Daphnia pulex: one gene and its partner. The protein of the gene in region 2 purifies or fractionates together with the protein of the main gene of each other region. This does not show direct contact. Links are inferred from orthologs where the notes say so. Each region holds a gene or a part of one and is shown on either strand. Other genes may lie near its edges. The genes, in order: general transcription and DNA repair factor IIH helicase subunit XPD-like and cyclin-H-like.

Region 1 (4,120 bases), on a different chromosome or scaffold from region 2:
AACATTAACACGGCGCTACATGAATCGGTAAAAGAAATGGTCAATATAGTCAGAATCTTTTGTTTTCCTATTATTTTTCATACCGTCCAAGATGGTGGTCAAAATCAATTCCTTCAGAGACTTTACCCCGTGCGACTGAAAGTAGTACAGCTCCTCGTCCATTATCACAAGCCTTCACTCGATTAAACAGATCGATTCAGATTAAACGAAAATCTTTAGACTAGAGGAATTAATTACTTTTAGAAACGAAACGTACTTTGATGTAGTTAATCAGCGCCAAACTCGTTTCTGCTGCGTCTTGGGTTTCGATAAAGAGGAGCTTGTGTCTTTGCAATTGATCGATAATGCCCTGATCGTACCAAGACGACACAATTGTTTCCAGGTATAGGTAGCTGGTGAAGAAGCAAACAATCCCATCGGGTACAGCGGCCGCTACTTCAACCAACAAATTTCCGTAGTTGCGAATAACGGCGGTGTCCTCACGAGTTTCGTATCGCGATGACATGGCGACCTGGTCGTTACCTTTCGATACGATCTATACTTAAAATAAGAATTTTAGTGTTACGTTAACATTTATGAAAAATGAGGCATCTACTACCATTGGCAGAATACAGGGTCTCGCCAAAGTCATAGTAAATGAGGTCATTATGACTGGATGGAAGTCGAGGATTTTCGGATACATATCAAGCGGTGAAAGGGTTCCTGAGGTGATGACGACAGTTTGGAAACGATTGAAAACTGGTTTGATGGCAATAGATGAATCTAAACAGCTGTAAAATGTACTAGCATTAATCACTGTTGGTCTTTGCGTGTTCTATATTCACATACCTGAAATATAAAATTGGGTTGGAAACTGTAGGTGCCCGATCTTCAAACGGTTCAATGATGATGGTGAATCTAAAATAGTAAATTACTTTTAGATATTTTTTCACCATTTTATCACTGTAAATAAAGATATTAACCCTTTAGTATATGTCGAGACCAATGTAGCAAAGTGAGAAACGGTTACAAGAGGTGAGAAATCCGTCAGGTCGGATATTTCAAGAGTGCGAATGAGTGAAGATAAACGCTCTGCGGTGAATCTGGAAAGTTTATCAACAAAATAGGTAAAATAATAATTTGTGCGTGTGAAACTGTATTTTTATATACCTTAGAGGTTTCCTATCGATACACACTTTAATGTGAATATCTCTCAAGAAACCGGCGGGACTCTCTTGAACGACGTGCTGGACGCGGAGTCGAGTTTTGATGTACTCTACTACTCGCTTCAAAAAGGCCACGAAGTGCTCAGCAGTACGGATCGTTCCAGGGACGGCCTCTATAAATGAAAGAAATGTTAAAATGGCCCGAACGGATACTTGTGAATAAATACAGACCTTCTAAAATTTCAGAAGGTAAAACCGGGTTAACTAAAGCCATGTCAGTTTCTCTCGCTATGTTAGCATCTCGCAATCCTTCAACTAGCCTTTGGTATTCCTTCTCCAACCTTCTGTTGTCATTTTCTTTCATGCTAAAGAGTTAAAAAAGTTAACAACTCTGAAATTAATCATGCACATCCAGTTGTGATTACTTTGAAATGGTGGTTTCCAGAATTTGAATGCTATTGGAGCATTTATCCAGCAGACGTTTCGTTATCTTGACGCTCATCGAATCTATACAGACATTATCTAGAAAAACCAATATTTAATTAGTAGGGCAATTTTAAGAGGTTACGTTTCAGTAAAATTACCAATATTGTGGGCTTCATCAAAGACAACGACGCTAGTTTTTGAAATTTCCTTGGAAACGACTTCTGCAATCTTGGGATCAAGTAAGTAATGATAGCTGTACACCACAATGTTGGCGTGAGTTATCTATAATTTAAATTTGGTATTAATTTGGTTGTACAATATTTTATAAATGTCATGATCTAACGGTGTATCGGGCAAGAAAATAAGGACACCATCCTTTGGCCTGTCCATATTCCTTTAAATCGTCCAGGTTGTACACCCCAGGAGGCAGCGGAAATTCTTTTCCATGAGCATCGAATCCTTCATAAAAGTTGCATACTGGCACAGCGTCATCACCTGCATGACGAGCTCTTACAAACGATGCCGTGAGACCGTAACAGCGCCCGTCGACTACTTTTCCTTCTCTCTCCTTACTGACCTGTTATGTAATTGTGTTGTTGATTAACCATACTTTTAAATCTTTTTACTATTTAATTCATATTACTGAGGGGTGAATGCAGAGATTCTTTCTGGAGCTAAGTGCCAAGCCAAGAATGTTTTGTTCCATGCCCATCTCTTTTTCGTAGTAATTCATTAATTTTCGCAATTCTTCCATAACCTTTTCAATTTCAGGAACAGTTCTTGAACAGTAGACTAGTTTGGTTAAATCAAGGGGGTGAGCCTTCATGTAGGCCACAATTAATGATAGCAATGTTGTTGTCTTCCCCGTTCCAGAAGGCATTTCCAATAAACAGTGACCCTGAATTGATCCAACATCAACAGATATTTATGTAATTTCAAGTTATACTAGTATTGGACGATACAACATACTTTTGCATCGAGAGCATGTTTCAGTTCGAGCATGTATGAAAACTGCTCCGGGTATATGTAATCGTAAGGGAAGTAGACGAGGAGTCCATCAACATTTAATCTATGAACATGTAAATAAATTAAATGTGGTCTCTGAATTGACAAAAGTGCGGGATTTACTTCATTTTTGTACGAGAAAGTTTACAACAACATGCACATAAAGTTGCTTGCCACTTGTTCTTCTTCAAATTTCTAGCAGACTAATTTTCCTTTTCACGTGTCGATAATGGTTACCAATAGATGGCGCGTAGTCAAGGCAACCAATTTGTTGTTTAAAAATATTTGTTGCGATTAGTTTTTTTAAACGATCTCATGGAAAGATATATTGTGAACGGCAGGATTGGGGAAGGGGCACACGGGATCGTTCTTAAAGGTATTGACAAGTCCACAATGAAACTGGTCGCCATGAAACGGATAGCGTTGAAGAACATTAACGAGCAGGGATTGCCGAACTCGGCTGTTCGTGAATTGCTGGCTCTTCGCCTGATCCGCCATGAATATGTAGTGAACCTAGTGGACTATTTCCCACAAGGATATTCGCTTGTGTTGGTCTTTGAATATTTACCAATAGATCTCTACGAATTTTTGCGCTCCAACTCCAAACCTTTGCCGACGAGTCACGTGAAAAGCTGTACCATATTTACATCTCTACAATCAGATTTTAGGCATTCAAATAACCAATATGCAATCCTTTCCATTTAGACATGTGGATGCTAGCCAGCGCTGTGGAATATATTCATAGTTTGGGTATTATGCATCGGGATTTGAAGCCGGCCAATTTGCTGATTGGTTCCCGAGGCGAACTGAAAGTGACCGATTTCGGATTGTGTCGTACGTTCAATCATTCCGAAAAGGCTCAAAGATTATTCACACATCAGGTGGCTTCGCGGTGGTACAGAGCACCGGAACTGCTCTATGGTTCTCGCAACTATGGCAAGTTTCATTTTAATTTAAAAATGCCATGTTAATTCTAACACCTTTTTCACAACAGGACCGGAAGTCGACCTATGGGCTATGGGCTGTATCTTTGGTGAAATGTTGAAGAATTCTCCCCTTTTTCCGGTAAATAATGGCCAATGTTGTCAATATAATATGTTGTAACAGTATCCGGATTTCCATCAAACCCTAGGGAGAAAATGACATTGGCCAACTGTGCACAGTCATTCAAGGTCATTAACAATACGGTAATCATAATCAAGGTGAATGGCATTAACTCTTTTGTGGGTAATTACATAGTACTAGGCACTCCAGACGAAGAAAATTGGCCAGGTGTATCAGCATTGCCAGATTTCCACAAAATTTCATTTACCAAAACTCGGAAACAAATCTCCTTTAAGAAAATCCTGATTGATGTAGACGAATCATCACGAACGATGCTGGAACAATTTCTTCGCTATTGCCCCCAATCACGAATAACAGCTAAACAGGTCATTTCTAATCTTCTATCTTTTAAAAATTTAAATCTAATTAAAACTTTGCATTGACAACCAGTTTTTGGAAGCTAAATATTTTCAAGAAGATCCGTTGATGACAGCAATAGA
Region 2 (3,856 bases):
GACGCAATCATTTTTGCAGATTTCAGTCTAGACTATAAGGTCAACCCTCATACCCTCATGTCCAGCTGAATATCTGCAACATAGCGGGAGAAAGGGATGAATTATTATTCTTCCGTGCTTCGTCGACATGATTGAACTTTAAGCGCCCGATAGAAAGCGGAGCCAACATTTACCGTCTGGAAATTTTCAAATTATTTTATTTTTCAAACCCCACACTTTCGTTGCGCCATCTAGATGCCCTTGGTAAAATAACAAATTTGCTTTTTCAAGTTATGAATGAAAACTTTGAAAAATTCCGCTTTTGTTCGGTTAAACCGATAGCTAGAAAAAATACGGTTTGATCAACCGAACTTCGATGACCATATATCTCGATAACTGATTTAATCTTAGTAGTATTCCCTACCCCTTTGTCAAATTCCATATCTTTCTGATGTTGCTGTGTTCCAGAAAAGCTCGGACCGAAACAAATGGCATCTTACATCATGATCTCGCGTTGATGTTATAAACACATGTTACGTTTTCAAAATCCTGTGATTTTTCGTGACATCAGAGTTATTCCAAGTACATCTATTATTATCTCACTTCCCATCGTTTCGCTTGATTATTTTCCGCCATAGATAGCTTTCGTGATTCAATAATGTGTGACACTCGAACCCGTAAACGTTATGCCAAAAGAACAAGGTATACATGAGTATTACTAGTCTCAACGGCAACTTGTAATCACACCATCGCCTGATATGTATTCGATTGTATTCCATGTAAGTATTCCATTCCAATTTCATGTATTTCAGTTCATCAAGAATGTATTTGAATTTCATCTAATTGAATTTATTGTGTGCGGCAGACATACATTCAATGTACAGCGCACAGACATTTGCAGCACACGGGAACTCGAGAAATCGACGCACAAGCCGGAATAAGTGTGGGAACAGGAAGCACTGTAAATTTTATAGGATGTCTGGTCGAAAAAACGTGGGGAATGCGTTTAAATTTTACCCATTTCGGACATTCCCATTAACATACTGCGAACTTGATCTGAGTTGGCGGACGGATACTGGCCATCTTCGAAAGATTCTTCGTCGTCAAAAGATTGCTTCATCCTCTTCTTGAATCTAAGACAAAACACATTGAAAGTTATGAAAGGATCAGTTAAAATTCATGTTGAATTGACAAAATAAGAATGGCAATTACGCTGGGCTTTCACTGTTGTTGTCGGGATTGCAGCAGAGTTGAAGCTTCTTTTCCAAAGCTTTGATGACATCTCGATGAGGTGTTTGAACGTTCCGCACCATCACACGGATTTCTTTGATAAAAGTGAAAGCAAACAATGAAGTTCGGCAATCGGAAAAACCATCTCTATTACGAGGAAAATAGAAGGAAAGTTAGAACTCTTACTTTTCACTGCTTCTATGAGATTTAATAAGCGTTTCTGGTCTTCGGAAAACAAAATTTTCGTAATGTATTCGTCGACATTTTCCTTAGAAGTGCTCGCGGAATGAATGATGGCTGCCAGAGAAATTTGAGACGGGGAGTAGATCAAAATAGCGTCAGTGTAAAAAACTTGTTCGAGGAATTCATCAATTCCTGATCTCAGTCTCTCAGGGTCACTGAAGGTTGGAAATCTTGTTTTCATGTCAATCATCAAGCCTTCAAGCCTGCAAAATTATAAATCAGGATTAATGTTGAGCAAAAGAAAATTGCAGCAAAGGGAAAGACAATGAAATGTACATACGGTCGAAAAGGATTATGGACAGTCAATTGATAGTCAAGTTGTTGCATTAGAAGAAGTTCATTGTTCAAAATAATGGAAGCAGCCTTTTCTCTGTCTCCTTTCAGGTTACCGACAAATTGATCCATAGAAACATTGAACTCTTCCACTTTGCAAGCCAAGTAGACACAAGTAACACTATAAGAATAAATGATTATTGCAAATTCAGGTATTTAATTAACAAATAACTTACAGGATCTCTTTGGGTGGATAGTCCATGACAGAATTGTTGACATAGAAACGCTTTAGGTAGTGCAAAGCTGTTCCTATCACATAGCGAGGCATAGGAGGGAGGAATTTTCTGCAAAAGTCTCTGAGCTGGTATTCATAACTCATAATCAAAATTTTTTCCTCTGTCACGTTCAAAAAATGGAGTTCTTGCTCTTCAACCTGTTAAATAGTACACATTGATTATCATGCCATGTTGGTCACACTTCCTGGAAGCAACTTACAGTCATATTTCTCCCTCGGCTTGAAATATATTTTATGTTGGCACTGAGCCGGGCATTAGAAACATCATTTTCATCTTTAAACATCCAAAAACTACGCTGGGTACTCGTTGCAAACATATTGAACTTGCCCCGTTTTCATGTGTTTGACCATGCAAAATATAACATTCACATATGGTTTTTTGAGTTTCAACTGAAAATTCTGGTAAATTTCGTCTGCTAGAGGACTTCGTTTCCAAGGCAATGATTACGACACCTACGCCATCTGGGAGACGTTGTTTCATTCTCCGACAGCCAATGAGAATCCACCGCGTTTGAATGAGTTTTGACAACCCTATTTCGATAGAAAGCTTTTTTTTTTAAATAATAATAAATGAGTAGCTTTAAATAGACTGGAGAATTGAATCTAAACTTTTATTTCAGCATGGCAATTTTGAAAGTTTCTAAAGCTCTGTATCCAGTAAAGAGCTTTTGAGACACATAACAAAATATTTTTCCGAGTATTCAAGAAGGCATTGCATAGGATTGCGGTGAAATATGAAACGTGATAAAAATTCGTCCGGCGCACTCGTCCTTAAGTAAATTGTGTGACGTCGTCGTCAGTTGGCTTTTAGTGGTAGTTACCAGTTTGCCCAGTTCCGAAACCACCGAAACCATTGCCGCCAGAGCCTACGAAAAGGAGAATAGATTATTAACACATTTTTTCAAACGATATCTTTTACCAAAGACAAAATGAAAATATTACCACCACCGCCGGCGTAGGGGTTGTAGCCTTTTCCGGCAGTCAGCGCTTGACCTGTTTACATTGAAAATATTTAGATTTGGTTGACAAGCATATGAGTCATTCTGGGTTTTACTTACCAACTCCAACGGTACCGATTCCAGTGAATTGACCGTAGGCACCAATGGCTCCGGCAACAGTACTATCAACACAAAATAAAATATTAGATTATTCCTTTTGCCTTCTTTAGAGCATAATTGCGGATTGTTTTACCCAGCTCCATAGCCACCTAGGCCGTTTTGAAATCCGGTGGAGAATATTTCATTGAAAGTGTTACTTCCATATCCGACAAGAGGGGTACCGGCTTGTACTCCGCAAGCCAAGCAAAGAATGACAGCCTGCGTGAAATTAATTATTTAGTGGATGAGATCCTTGTTTTAGTCGGTATTTTTATTTAAAAAAAGATGCAATATACTCACGATGGAAACGATGCTGGTATATCTGGCAACCATATTGAAGATTGTGTAGCTAGGAGTCCTAGTGAACAGTGAATAATGATAGACTTGGTTTTCAATCCGTTTAAATAGAGTACCGCTGATCACGTGATACTTTCGCTCGTTTTCTTTGTAACATTACAGGAAATTTGGATAATTTGAGAAAGCGATTCTCGATCATTCCCAAAATTCCCAAGAAAAAAGATCGCTGATTCGTACTTCTTGTCTAATAGTCTAAAGTATTGTTCTGAAGAAAAGATCTGTCCCACTTCTTCACTGACTAAGTGAAAGCCATTTTATTACTTTGTCTTTAGATTTATTATAGTCTAATGGAGCTTCAATCCTACAATTTCCATTATTATTGTAGCCGTTAGACAGGCAGGCGTAGGACGTCGCTAAAGAGACGTGAACGATTTCGCTTTCC

What was found.
Region 1: the proteins of cyclin-H-like (region 2) and general transcription and DNA repair factor IIH helicase subunit XPD-like purify together in Homo sapiens (affinity purification with mass spectrometry; 3 studies listed by BioGRID and IntAct, counting the BioPlex papers as one, with this or other methods). This does not show direct contact. The link is inferred for Daphnia pulex from reciprocal best matches to the Homo sapiens genes CCNH and ERCC2.

Annotation. Positions count from the first base shown.
Region 1 is NC_060017.1:8,164,179-8,168,298, reverse strand, and holds the start of general transcription and DNA repair factor IIH helicase subunit XPD-like, read right to left. Parts: upstream 2,801-4,120; 5' UTR 2,705-2,800; coding exon 2,700-2,704; intron 2,641-2,699; coding exon 2,541-2,640; intron 2,470-2,540; coding exon 2,215-2,469; intron 2,149-2,214; coding exon 1,915-2,148; intron 1,854-1,914; coding exon 1,730-1,853; intron 1,668-1,729; coding exon 1,571-1,667; intron 1,511-1,570; coding exon 1,377-1,510; intron 1,319-1,376; coding exon 1,150-1,318; intron 1,083-1,149; coding exon 963-1,082; intron 898-962; coding exon 829-897; intron 771-828; coding exon 599-770; intron 536-598; coding exon 257-535; intron 173-256; coding exon 84-172; intron 16-83; coding exon 1-15. Other genes in the region: cyclin-dependent kinase 20-like, read left to right, coding at 2,892-3,210, 3,282-3,512, 3,571-3,641, 3,709-3,748, 3,816-4,006, 4,071-4,120. UniProt on the Homo sapiens protein: ATP-dependent 5'-3' DNA helicase. Component of the general transcription and DNA repair factor IIH (TFIIH) core complex, not absolutely essential for minimal transcription in vitro.
Region 2 is NC_060020.1:2,096,614-2,100,469, forward strand, and holds cyclin-H-like, read right to left. Parts: upstream 2,434-3,856; 5' UTR 2,338-2,433; coding exon 2,221-2,337; intron 2,159-2,220; coding exon 1,962-2,158; intron 1,907-1,961; coding exon 1,733-1,906; intron 1,656-1,732; coding exon 1,396-1,655; intron 1,304-1,395; coding exon 1,192-1,303; intron 1,113-1,191; coding exon 986-1,112; 3' UTR 786-985; downstream 1-785. Other genes in the region: keratin-associated protein 19-2-like, read right to left, coding at 2,828-2,886, 2,963-3,013, 3,079-3,140, 3,212-3,336, 3,418-3,450. UniProt on the Homo sapiens protein: Regulates CDK7, the catalytic subunit of the CDK-activating kinase (CAK) enzymatic complex. CAK activates the cyclin-associated kinases CDK1, CDK2, CDK4 and CDK6 by threonine phosphorylation.